Macaca mulatta: one gene and its partner. The protein of the gene in region 1 purifies or fractionates together with the protein of each later gene. This does not show direct contact. Links are inferred from orthologs where the notes say so. Each region holds a gene or a part of one and is shown in the gene's direction. Other genes may lie near its edges.

What was found. The genes of interacting proteins can lie anywhere in the genome.
Region 2: the proteins of PRMT1 (region 1) and LSM14A purify together in Homo sapiens (affinity purification with mass spectrometry; 3 studies listed by BioGRID and IntAct, with this or other methods). This does not show direct contact. The link is inferred for Macaca mulatta from reciprocal best matches to the Homo sapiens genes PRMT1 and LSM14A.

What each region holds. Positions count from the first base shown.
Region 1 is NC_133424.1:62,128,880-62,134,059, forward strand, and holds the start of PRMT1 (protein arginine N-methyltransferase 1), read left to right. Parts: upstream 1-2,008; 5' UTR 2,009-2,022; coding exon 2,023-2,058; intron 2,059-4,620; coding exon 4,621-4,674; exon of another isoform or gene 4,675-4,678; intron 4,679-4,888; exon of another isoform or gene 4,889-4,984; coding exon of another isoform or gene 4,985-5,002; intron 5,003-5,180. UniProt on the Homo sapiens protein: Arginine methyltransferase that methylates (mono and asymmetric dimethylation) the guanidino nitrogens of arginyl residues present in proteins such as ESR1, histone H2, H3 and H4, FMR1, ILF3, HNRNPA1, HNRNPD, NFATC2IP, SUPT5H, TAF15, EWS, HABP4, SERBP1, RBM15, FOXO1, CHTOP, MAP3K5/ASK1, MICU1 and NPRL2.
Region 2 is NC_133424.1:45,493,515-45,498,694, forward strand, and holds the start of LSM14A (protein LSM14 homolog A), read left to right. Parts: upstream 1-2,186; 5' UTR 2,187-2,216; coding exon 2,217-2,337; exon of another isoform or gene 2,338-3,062; intron 3,063-4,802; exon of another isoform or gene 4,803-5,180. UniProt on the Homo sapiens protein: Essential for formation of P-bodies, cytoplasmic structures that provide storage sites for translationally inactive mRNAs and protect them from degradation. Acts as a repressor of mRNA translation. May play a role in mitotic spindle assembly.

The sequences.
Region 1 (5,180 bases):
GCTAATTTTCGTTTTTTTAGTAGAGACGGGGTTTCACCATATTGGCCAGGCTGGTCTCGAACTCCTCACCTTGTGATCCGTCCACCTAGGCCTCCCAAAGTGCTGAGATTACAGGCGTGAGTCATCGCGCCCGGCCTAATTTTTTTTCTTTTTTTTGAGACAAGAGTCTGTCGCCCCGGCTAGAGTGCAGTGGCGCGATCTCGGCTCACTGCAAGCTCCACCTCCTAGGTTCAAGCCATCCTCCTGCCTCAGCCTCCCGAGTAGCTGGGACTACAGGAGCACGCCGCCACGCCCGGCTAATGTTTTGTATTTTTAGTAGAGACGGGGTTTCACCATGTTAGCCAGGATGGTCTCGATCTCCTGACCTTGTGATCCGCCTGCCTCGGCCTCCCAAAGTGCTGGAATTACAGGCATAAGACACCGCGCCCGGCCGCCCGGCCAAATTTTTTTTTTTTTTTTTTTTTTTTTTTTTTGAGACGGAGTCTCGCTGTGTGGCCCAGGCTGGAGTGCAGTGGCCGGATCTCAGCTCACTGCAAGCTCCGCCTCCCAGGTTTATGCCATTCTCCTGCCTCAGCCTCCCGAGTAGCTGGGACTACAGGCGCCCGCCACCTCGCCCGGCTAGTTTTTTGTATTTTTTTTTAGTAGAGACGGGGTTTCACCGTGCTAGCCAGGATGGTCTCGATCTCCTGACCTCGTGATCCGCCCGTCTCGGCCTCCCAAAGTGCTGGGATTACGGGCTTGAGCCACCGCGCCCGGCCAATTTTTGTATTTTTAATAGAAATGGGCGTTTCACCATGTTGGCCAGACTGGTGTCGAACTCCTGACTTCAAGTGATCCGCCCGCCTCCGCCTCCCAAAGTGCTGGGATTACAGGCGTGAGCCACTGCGCCCGAATCCTATCGGAAATTTTTAAGTCTCAGGCGTTTGCCAGCGGCACGCCAGAGAGTATAGCCTGCACCGAGGCCCAGAAACCAAAGAGCGAGCTCATTCCGGGATTGGAGAGGAGTGTGAGCGGAGGGAAGCAGAGGGATCAGAGAGAGGAGGGGCAGGACCCACGCATTCGGCCCTTTGCATTCAGCCTCATTCAACTAGGAACTTTTCCTGCAAATCAAGCAAAGCTTCCCGGAGGAAGTGGTGCCTAAGCTGCGCTCTGATTCTCGTTTAGAAGCTGACAAGACAAAGAGAGGTGGGCGGTCCTGGCAGGGGGAGGGACTCGGCAAAAACCAAGTACCTTGAGAGGGGTTGATGGGTTTTAAAAACTTTGAATGATTATGTCAAAGGCTAGGGATTTAATGTGTTGACTGCGGACTCCTATTCCTCACTTGCTTGGGGACCCCAGCGATGCCATTCCTCTCTCTGGGCCTCTCACTGATTCAGTTTTTCTCCCAGGTAATGAGCACAAGCTCCCTTTTTCCTCGAGACTCCCCCCGGGTTGGGAGGATCCACCGAGTGGACTAGGCGTGATCGTTCCTTTGAGCCAATCGTTGGTGCCTGAAGCCCCGCCTTCTTCCCCACCCGTGGGCCAATTGTCGTGTTCTCCTTGAGACTGGCCGCTTGGCGAGGGTGAAAGGCCGCGTGACGTCACTTCCGGATAAACCAATGGCAGCGATTAAGAGGCGGGTCGTTTTGGTGATGGACAGTTGTTTCAAGACGCCCCTTTAGCGCGGGGCTCCCCGGGAAGCTTTGAGGCGGTGCTGGGGGTAAAGGGGCGGGCATTCCTCGTGGATTTTGCCCAATCACCAGTCGCGCTTCTTGCAATAGACGGGCAGTTTTCCCCATCTCGGGTCGACTTGAGGGGGCGGGATTCTGGACGCCAGTGTTGGCAAACCCCTGACCTATGATGGACGTATTCTCCAGCCAATTATCAGACGGTATTCTCAGACGGGCCGCCTCCATTGCCAATGAAATCTTCCAGCGGGGTCGCGGTAGGCGGGCCGTGGACCCTCTGGTATAAGGCGGTCCCGGGGGAGTGAGGAGAAAGGGGGGGTCTTGGCGGCTGGAGGAGGAGTAGTTGCGGGTGAAGATGGCGGCAGCCGAGGCCGCGAACTGCATCATGGAGGTGAGCGCTTGGAGCGCCGCCGTGGGCGGGGGTCGGCTTTGGGTCGATGTTTCACGCCTCTGTGGTGGGGAAAGGGCTCTAAGTTGGCGACATGGGGTTGGAGGTCCCCCGCCGCACACGGGGGCGCCGCACGCTCCACATCCGGGGATATCGTTTGAGGTGACGGCTCCCTAGCTTTCAAGGGCCTTCGGCATCCGGCCTAGCGGAGGGTCTTATCCCCCCTCCCACGTGGAGGAGGGCTGGGGGCGCTTCCGGCCAGGCCCCCACGTGGCCGCGGCGCGGTGGGTGGGGAGGGGGTGTGCCGAGTCCGGTGGCCCGGCGGGCTCCACGTGCGGGACAAAGGCCCCGCCCCCGGCCGGGGAGGGGCGCCCGGGGGGGCGGGGAGGGGGTCCGACCCTCCTGAGGCCCCCAGCCCTCCTACCCAGGGACCCGGGCACACGTCGTGGGGTGGGATCGACCTGGGGCCCTCCACGATGTAGAGTGTCTTTTGGGAGGAGCAGTGCCTTTTACAACCTCCTTCCGAGCTCCAGGGGCATCTATTGGGATATCGGCCCTGGATTTGTGCGTTCTGGATTAGGGACTGGAGGAAAACCAAGAATGGGGCCCCCCTGACCCCATTTCCCCTCCTAGAGTTCTCCCCCTCACCCAGGGCTTTAGGTGTTGGGGGATGGGGCATGCCCCTGTGACCTCCCTCTGGGTGGTGGTGGGGCATCTAGATGGAGATTTTCCCACTAATAGGCGCCGTGCACCCCCTTGTGGCCATTTCTGGGTGTGTGGGAGGGACATCTTTTTCATGGGGCGTGTCCTGAAGCCCACCTCCCGTCGGATTTCTTCCTGGAGGGCGGAGGGAGGAGGGTACGTCCGCTGGGAAGGAGTTGTGGGAAATACGTAGGCTGAGAGCTTTACCCTCTGCTGGAGCGCTTTCTCTCTCCTGGGCCTTTGTGAGGGCGGGAGATGACCTCCCCCTTCCTGAAGCCCTGTGTAGGGGTCCTGAGCCCCGGGGTCCTGAGGGTGGGTGCCTGAAATGGTTTCAAGTGAGGTTTGGTTCTCGTGCAGCCATGTGGGGGAGGTTTCAGTCTTGCGTTTTAAGCCTTCGGGCTGGGGTTGTCTGGCAGTAGTTTTCAGTGGTGGTGATAAATGGGCCCCAGCGGGAAACCCCCGCAGCACCTTTCTTATAGGCATCCCCGCTGGCTTGGGAGAGCTGGGGGGAGGGTGTTTGGAGCCTAGTAGGTCATGGCCAGTGACGTGGCCCTTCTTGGAGTGGTCACATCTGGAAGAGATGTAATCTGATGGGGCCTCTGTCCTTCCACCCCTTTACCCATGGCATTGACTGGGGGGGCAGGTCAGCTGTAAGCTGTCAGGATGCAGCTCCCAGGGGTCACTGTAATGACTTCGCACCCTCTTGGCTGTCTCCTGCACCTGGGGCTCTGTGGGCGGAGGAAATAACTTTCCCAGAGGTGGCCTCAGGCTTGGCCGCACCTGGAAGTCTTCAGGACCTGGGATGGGTGTCTGAAATGGGGGCGATGGGCTGACTCCCCAAGCTACTTTTTTTTTTTTTTTTTTTTTTTTTTTTTGAGACGGAGTCTTAATCTGTCACCAAGGCTGGAGTGCAATGGCTTGATCTCGGCTCATTGCAACCTCCGCTTCCTGGGTTCAAGCGATTCTCCTGCCTCAGCCTCTTGAATAGCTGGGATGACAGGCACCCGCCACCAGGCCCAGCTAATTTTTGTATTTTTAGTAGAGATGGGGATTCACCATGTTGGTCAGGCCGGTCTCAAACTCCTGACCTAAGGTGACCCACCCGCCTCTGCCTCCCAAACTGCTGGGATTACAGGTGTGAGCCACCGCGCCCCCAAGCCACTTTCTGGAGCCCGCTCATTCTTAAGAGGGTCCAGGAGCTGCCCATCCTCCATGGGACCCTACCTTCGTGGGCAGAGGGTCATAAGGGAGCGGGTTGGTTCCAGCTGGTTTTGTTTGGGGCTCCTGAGTCCAAGGCAGGAGCTGGGGGCTGGGGTACTAGCTCTGGGGAAGTGCCCGTGTGCCACACCTCTATTCTGGAATCCTCTCAGACATGAGACTGGTTTGCAGAGGTGGCAGATGCCCTGTGGGCATACCCTGCCAGCCTCGTTCCCTCCTGCTATTCATGGCACCCTGGGATAGGGGTGTGTGTGTCAGGAAGTGTCACCTAATCTGGGGGAGATTAGGTGATGAGAGGGAGCGACAGCTGGCGGGGGTGGGTGCCAGTTCCCCTGGCCTGGATGGGGGAGGTGTGTGGTCAGCTGCCTGGCCAGAGAGGGGCAACAAGGGGGCAGGCCACCATCTCTCCAGCCACAGCTGGGATAGGAGACCCCCTTTCTTCTCCCCTCACTTTTCCCATCCCTTTCTTAAACACCCCACCTCATTACTTGCCCTCTTTGCCACCACTCCCCGCCAAGAAGGAGAATTGCTGGAAACCCCACCCCCCCCACCCCCCCCCACCCCGCCAGAGCCCAGGTCCCCGCGCCCAGCCCTCCCGCAGCCACTCCCAGTAGCTAATCCTTTCTCCCTGTTACTCTCTCCTAGAATTTTGTAGCCACCTTGGCTAATGGGATGAGCCTCCAGCCGCCTCTTGAAGAAGTAAATATCCTTTTGTGAGACCCCTTCCCACCCCGACCTCCACATCAATATATTTTGCCACACATCTGGCCCTTTCTTGAGGTCTAACCATACCCCTCTTGCTTCAAACCAGTTTACTGCAGGACCCCAAACACTTAGTAGCAACCCCTCCAGGTTCACAGCCCCCGCTGGCCTCCCCCAGTATCTCGGCTACTTCCTTAACTCCACCTCCAACCCCCCTTTGCCCTTCCCTGTGTCTGCCCCCATTTTCCTTCCCCTCCCCTCCCCAGCTGTGGGCTGAGCTAGAGACGGGGGCAGAGAGACTGGAGAGATGGTAGGCATGGCTGAGGTATCGGGGTGCTCCCCTGGATGGTGCTCTGTGGGGGTCTTGGAAGTGGAAAATGGGGTTGTTAGGTTTTGGGGTTCTTGGGGGGCAAGATGGCAGGCGGGGGCTGTAGGGTTGTAATGGTATGATTTTGGGGGGTTCTATACTACTGTTCAGGGAAAAGTAGGGACCTGGAGGTTTA
Region 2 (5,180 bases), about 17 Mb from region 1:
CATGAACCCAGGAGGTGGAAGTTGCAGTGAGCAACCAGATGGCACCACTGCACTCTATCCCAGGTGAGAGTGAGACTGTCTCAAAAAAACAAAAACAAACAATTCAACTTCCTCGCACGGACCTTGTACTGAAACAGGGATTTCCAAACCTTTCTTTGTAGCCACTGTGCACCAGCACCATCAGAGCTCTGTCTCTCTCCTGCGTCCCTCTCTTATGATGCCAGACTTCTCGCCATTTGCTCACTCAGCTCACTACCATCCTGCCTGTGCTCTGCCTTCATCCTGCTGTTCATTCATGCAGCAAATATTAACTGAGCAGCTGCCCGGAGCCAGGTGCTGTACTAGGCCCTGATGATACAGCAGCGACCAAAACAACATCTCTCTCTCTCAAAATGTTTACATTCTAGTGAAGCAGACAGACACAAATAATTAAACAGACATACTTGAGAGAGATACATGCTATAAAGAAAATGCAAGCTGAGTTAAGGAGATGTAGAGTGATGTGAGTGGTATTATTTTAAACAAGGTTGTCAGAGACGTCATATCTGGAGGTGATACTTGAGCAGATACTGGAATAAAGTGCTCAAGTACCGGTTGAATTAGACGTGACTGGAATAGAACGAGAAGCTAATTCATGTATATCCTTAGAAGCCAAAGTCTGGTTTTCTCTCTGTGTAACATGGGATCAGTAGAGTGAGTAGAGATAGAACATGATCAGAGTTATATATTTTTTTTTCTTTTTTTTTTTTTTTTTGAGACAGAGTCTCGTTCTGTAGCCCAGACTGGAGTGCAGTGGCACAATCTCGGCTCACCACAACCTCCGCCTCCTGGGTTCAAGCAATTCTCCTGCCTCAGCCTCCCAAGTAGCTGGGACTATAGGTGCGCGCCACCATGCCCGGCTAATTTTTTTGTATTTTTAGTAGAGACGGGGTTTCACCATGTTGGCCAGGCTGGTCTCCAACTCCTGACCTGTGATCCGCCCGCCTCGGGCTTCCAAAGTACTGGGATTACAGGCGTGAGCCACCGCGCCCAGCCCTGAGTTAGATTTTAACAAGATCTCTCTAGCTGCTGTGTTGAGAATAAAGTACTGGGGGCAAGGGTTGACACAGAGGCAACTTTTAGAAGGCTACTGCAATAATTCAGCCCGAGTAATCGTGGTTTGTGGGAGAGGTGTAGGGATGGAGATGAGGAGAAGAGGTCAGATTTAGGATACATTGTGTAGATATAACGGAGAGGTGTAGTCAGAACAGATGTGGAAGCAAGACAGAGGTCAAGACTGACTCAAGGCTTTTAGTCTGAGCAGCTGAGTAAAAATGGTACCGGTTACATCAACAGGGAACGGTGGTGAAGGAGCAGGTTAGAGGGGAAATAGGGAGCATGGCTTTGGACCCTTAACGTTGGAGATTGGACAGAGGCTAGGCGCGAAACCCGAGTTCACGGAATTGATCCAAGCTACAGACTGATAATTGGGATTGGTGAGTTACAATGGCGTTGCAAGCCATGAAGCTAGTTCAGACCGGCTGAATGAGAGGGACAGGAAGGGACTAAAACACTGAGCCGTCGGGAGAGCCCCAGCTCCAGGGGCAGCCTCGGGGGAAGCTCCCTGGACGATGGCTGCGGTAATAGAGCCGTAGGAGCTCCACGAGGTGCAGGTTCAGTGTCTTAAAAGGATGAGCAGCGGCTCGCCACAACTCGGAGGCGGGTGGGCAGCGCTCCAGGCGGAGGGCCCCGCGTCGGCAAAGACACAGGACCCAAGACAAGGCGGCCAAGGCCTGAGTCAAAAGGAGGGCCGCGCGCCTCCTCTCCAGCCCGCAGCAAGCGGTGCCACGAGGCACTCAGCCGGTCCCCGAAGTTCCTCTCACGCGGCCCCAGGACCACCGCCGTAGCCCAAGCCAATAGGCGCTGCCGGGACTCCCGAGGCCGCGAAGGAGCCGGGAGCCAGGAACCGAGAGCCGCCAGCCGTCGGCCAAGTCTCGCGACAGCGCGGCCTAGCCCTCCCAGCATGCCCCGCGCCGCCGCCGCTGCCGCTGCCGCCGCCGCCGCGCCGCGGCTTGAGGGCGGGAGGCTGGGGGAGGGTAGCGGACCCGGCGCCGCCGCCATGTTGGGTCTGAAGCGGCTGCTGTAGGTGTCGACGGAGCTAGCGGGCGTGCGGAGCGGGCGACAGCGGCGTGGGATCTGCCTCTCTGCGAGCAGCCGGGAGCGGCGGCGGCGGCGCCATGAGCGGGGGCACCCCTTACATCGGCAGCAAGATCAGCCTCATCTCCAAGGCGGAGATCCGCTACGAGGGCATCCTCTACACCATCGACACCGAAAACTCCACCGTAGCCCTTGCCAAAGGTACGCGGGACCGGGCCTCGGGGTGGGGGCCGGGCCGGGCGCCGCTCGGGGCTGCTCCCCGCTCCGGCCCGTGGCCTCCTCGTTCCCTTCCCTCCCTCCGTCGAGCTCCGGCAGGCCTTTCCCCTCTCCCCTCCCTTCTCCGGGCCCCGGCGTCGCGGGCCGGACCGCGGCCTCCCCGCGGCTCCCTGGCTTCCGCCCCCCTGGAAGGTCCGCGCCTGAAGCCCAGGGAACTACGGGACTGAGTGCGCGGCGGGCGGGCGGCCCTGAAGTCCGAGAACGGGCTGGAGAACACGGAGAAACGCGTCTTCCAACTCCGAAATTCGGGGCTTCTGTCGTCTTAGCACAAAACAAAGCCGGAGTATTCAAAGAATTTTTCCGCCCAGCTTGAGTTCATCGCGGATGCATTGACTACACAGCACCCATTTTCTCACTTTGTTCATTTCAATTCGTGGCAATCTTCCTCTGGTGAACTCTGAGTAATGTGCTAAAACTTTGGGTTTGCTCTGCGACGCAGACATTCTCGAAATGCCATCGATGCCGTGGAGCAGATCCCATCTCCCTCGGCTCATTCTCTGTTGGTATTTACCTGTTAAACCGGAATCCTCAAAGCCTGTTGTGCAACCATCTCATTAGGGCGCGTGGTAAAAATGCTTGCTGCTGCCCCGACTGCCCTGTTTCTGGAAACGGGTTCAAGCTTGATCCAGGATCCTTCTTGACCAGGCAAGCTTGACCTTTGATCCAGGCTCAGTGGGCGTTGACTGATCCCTCTGGAGGCTCTCTGGGAAAAGGAATTCGGCCGAGAAAGAAGGTGCCCCTACCCATAGTATTAATATTTGGCATCGCTAGAGTCTGTGTGGGTTTTGTTTCCGTTCACACGTGCAGGGCCTTTGCTCTGCCAGGAAACCAGAAAGTAAATAAACTAGCTCCTGAATCTTAAAGGAAATCTCACAACAGTGTAAAATACTTTGGGGGAAGCTAGATAACCTAGGTGATTTTCCCAGCACTTCTGGTAGAGGTGGGAGCTGCATAGCATGGTTAGGGACTCTCTGGGTAGGTTTGGTCCAAGGATAAAGAAGATTTTTGAAATCTGTAAACTTTTAAAAATCGTTAACTGATAGGGAAGTGGTTTCACGGGATCAAGTATTTAATAATACTTGTTGGATGCTCTGGTAAATCCTTTATTTATTTATTTTTCTGAGATGGAGTTTAGCTCTTTAGATCATGCAATGGCATAATCTCAGCTCACTGCAATCTCCGCCTCCCGGGTTCAAGTGATTCTCCTGCCTCAGCATCCCAAGTACCTGGGATTATAGGGGCCCGCCACCACGCCCGGCTAATTTGGTATTTTTAGTAGAGACAGGGTTTCATCATGTTGGCCAGGCTGGTCTCGAACTCCTGACCTCCGGTGATCCACCCGCCTCAGCCTCCCAAAGTGCTGGGATTACAGGCGTGAGCCACCGCACCCAGCCTAAGGTAAATCTTTTTACTAGCCCTGGCGTTGGGACAAATCTTATACCTGAGTAGGGAACCTTTTGATGTTTTAGAACTGTACACCATAAAGGAGTAGTACAAGATGGTGATAGTTTCACAGCTCTGCAAATTTGCTGAAGATCATTGAATTATACACTTTTTTAAATCACCAAGTCTAATTTTAAAAGTAGTATGAAAAACCAGGGAGTACCCCCACATTTCCCTCTTTACCTTGTGAAACATTGTATTATGACACATTACCTCATAAAAACACCTGTAGACTTAGCGCTTCAGTGTCTTTTTAGAAATCCACTATAGGATGCATGATGGTATTTGGTGTTTAAGACTTTCCCAGTGATGTTTCTTAAGTAACTTAGTTTTTGCTTGGCCTTATTTTGAATTTATTTTTATATTTTTTATATAATAGTTATTTAGCTGTATAGTGTTTTTCTGGCTTTATGCAATTATAAAAAAAAAAAGCCTGTCTTTATGAAATTATGAAAAGTGCTGGGTGAGAGCCAGATATGGGTTGAAAATAATTTCTCATTAAAGTGGTTTAATACATTTTTTAAAGTATTGCTTTACCTAATCTGAATTGAAAGGTGTTTTGCCAGCTTAGTGACTCAATAAGTTGGCTGTGTTACCTTTATTCCTCACAAAGAAAAAAAACATACATTTGAAAATTTTTAGAGTATTTTTGTTATTTTTTAAAAACTATGAACATATCCTTTTATGCAGGAACCCCAAAAGTCTACATTTTAACAACCCACATTTTAAAAACTTTTCAGCAGCTTTTGGAGTCAGTATTTCATTAGTCTGTAATAGTTAAATTCATATGACATAAAATACAAATTTGTTCTTCGTGTCATGACTTGATAAATATTTGAATATAGCAGTGAAAAAAAATTTTTAATCATTGAATTTACGTTTGTATTCATGCCTTTGATATTTCATTCCACATCATTATATGCTTTTTTTTTTTTTTTTTTTTGAGATGGAGTCTCACTGTGTTGCCCAGGCCACAGTGCAGTGGCACAATCCTGGCTCCCTGTAACCTCTACCTCCCAAGTTCAAGCAATTCTCCTGCCTCAGCCTCCTGAGTAGCTGGGATTACTGGTGCGTGCCATCACGCCTGGCTAATTTTTGTATTTTTTAGTTGAGACAGGCTTTCACCATATTGGCCAGGCTAGTCTTGAATTCTTGACCACAAGTGATCCCCCTGCCTCGGCCTCCTAAAATGCTGGGATTACAGGCATGAGCCACTGTACCCAGCTGCTTTTTCTTAAGCAACATGAGTTAAACATGTAACAGGTTTGGGGAATTTGATTATGCTTGCAAAAACTGACATTATCCAACCTTTATATATTATTCTA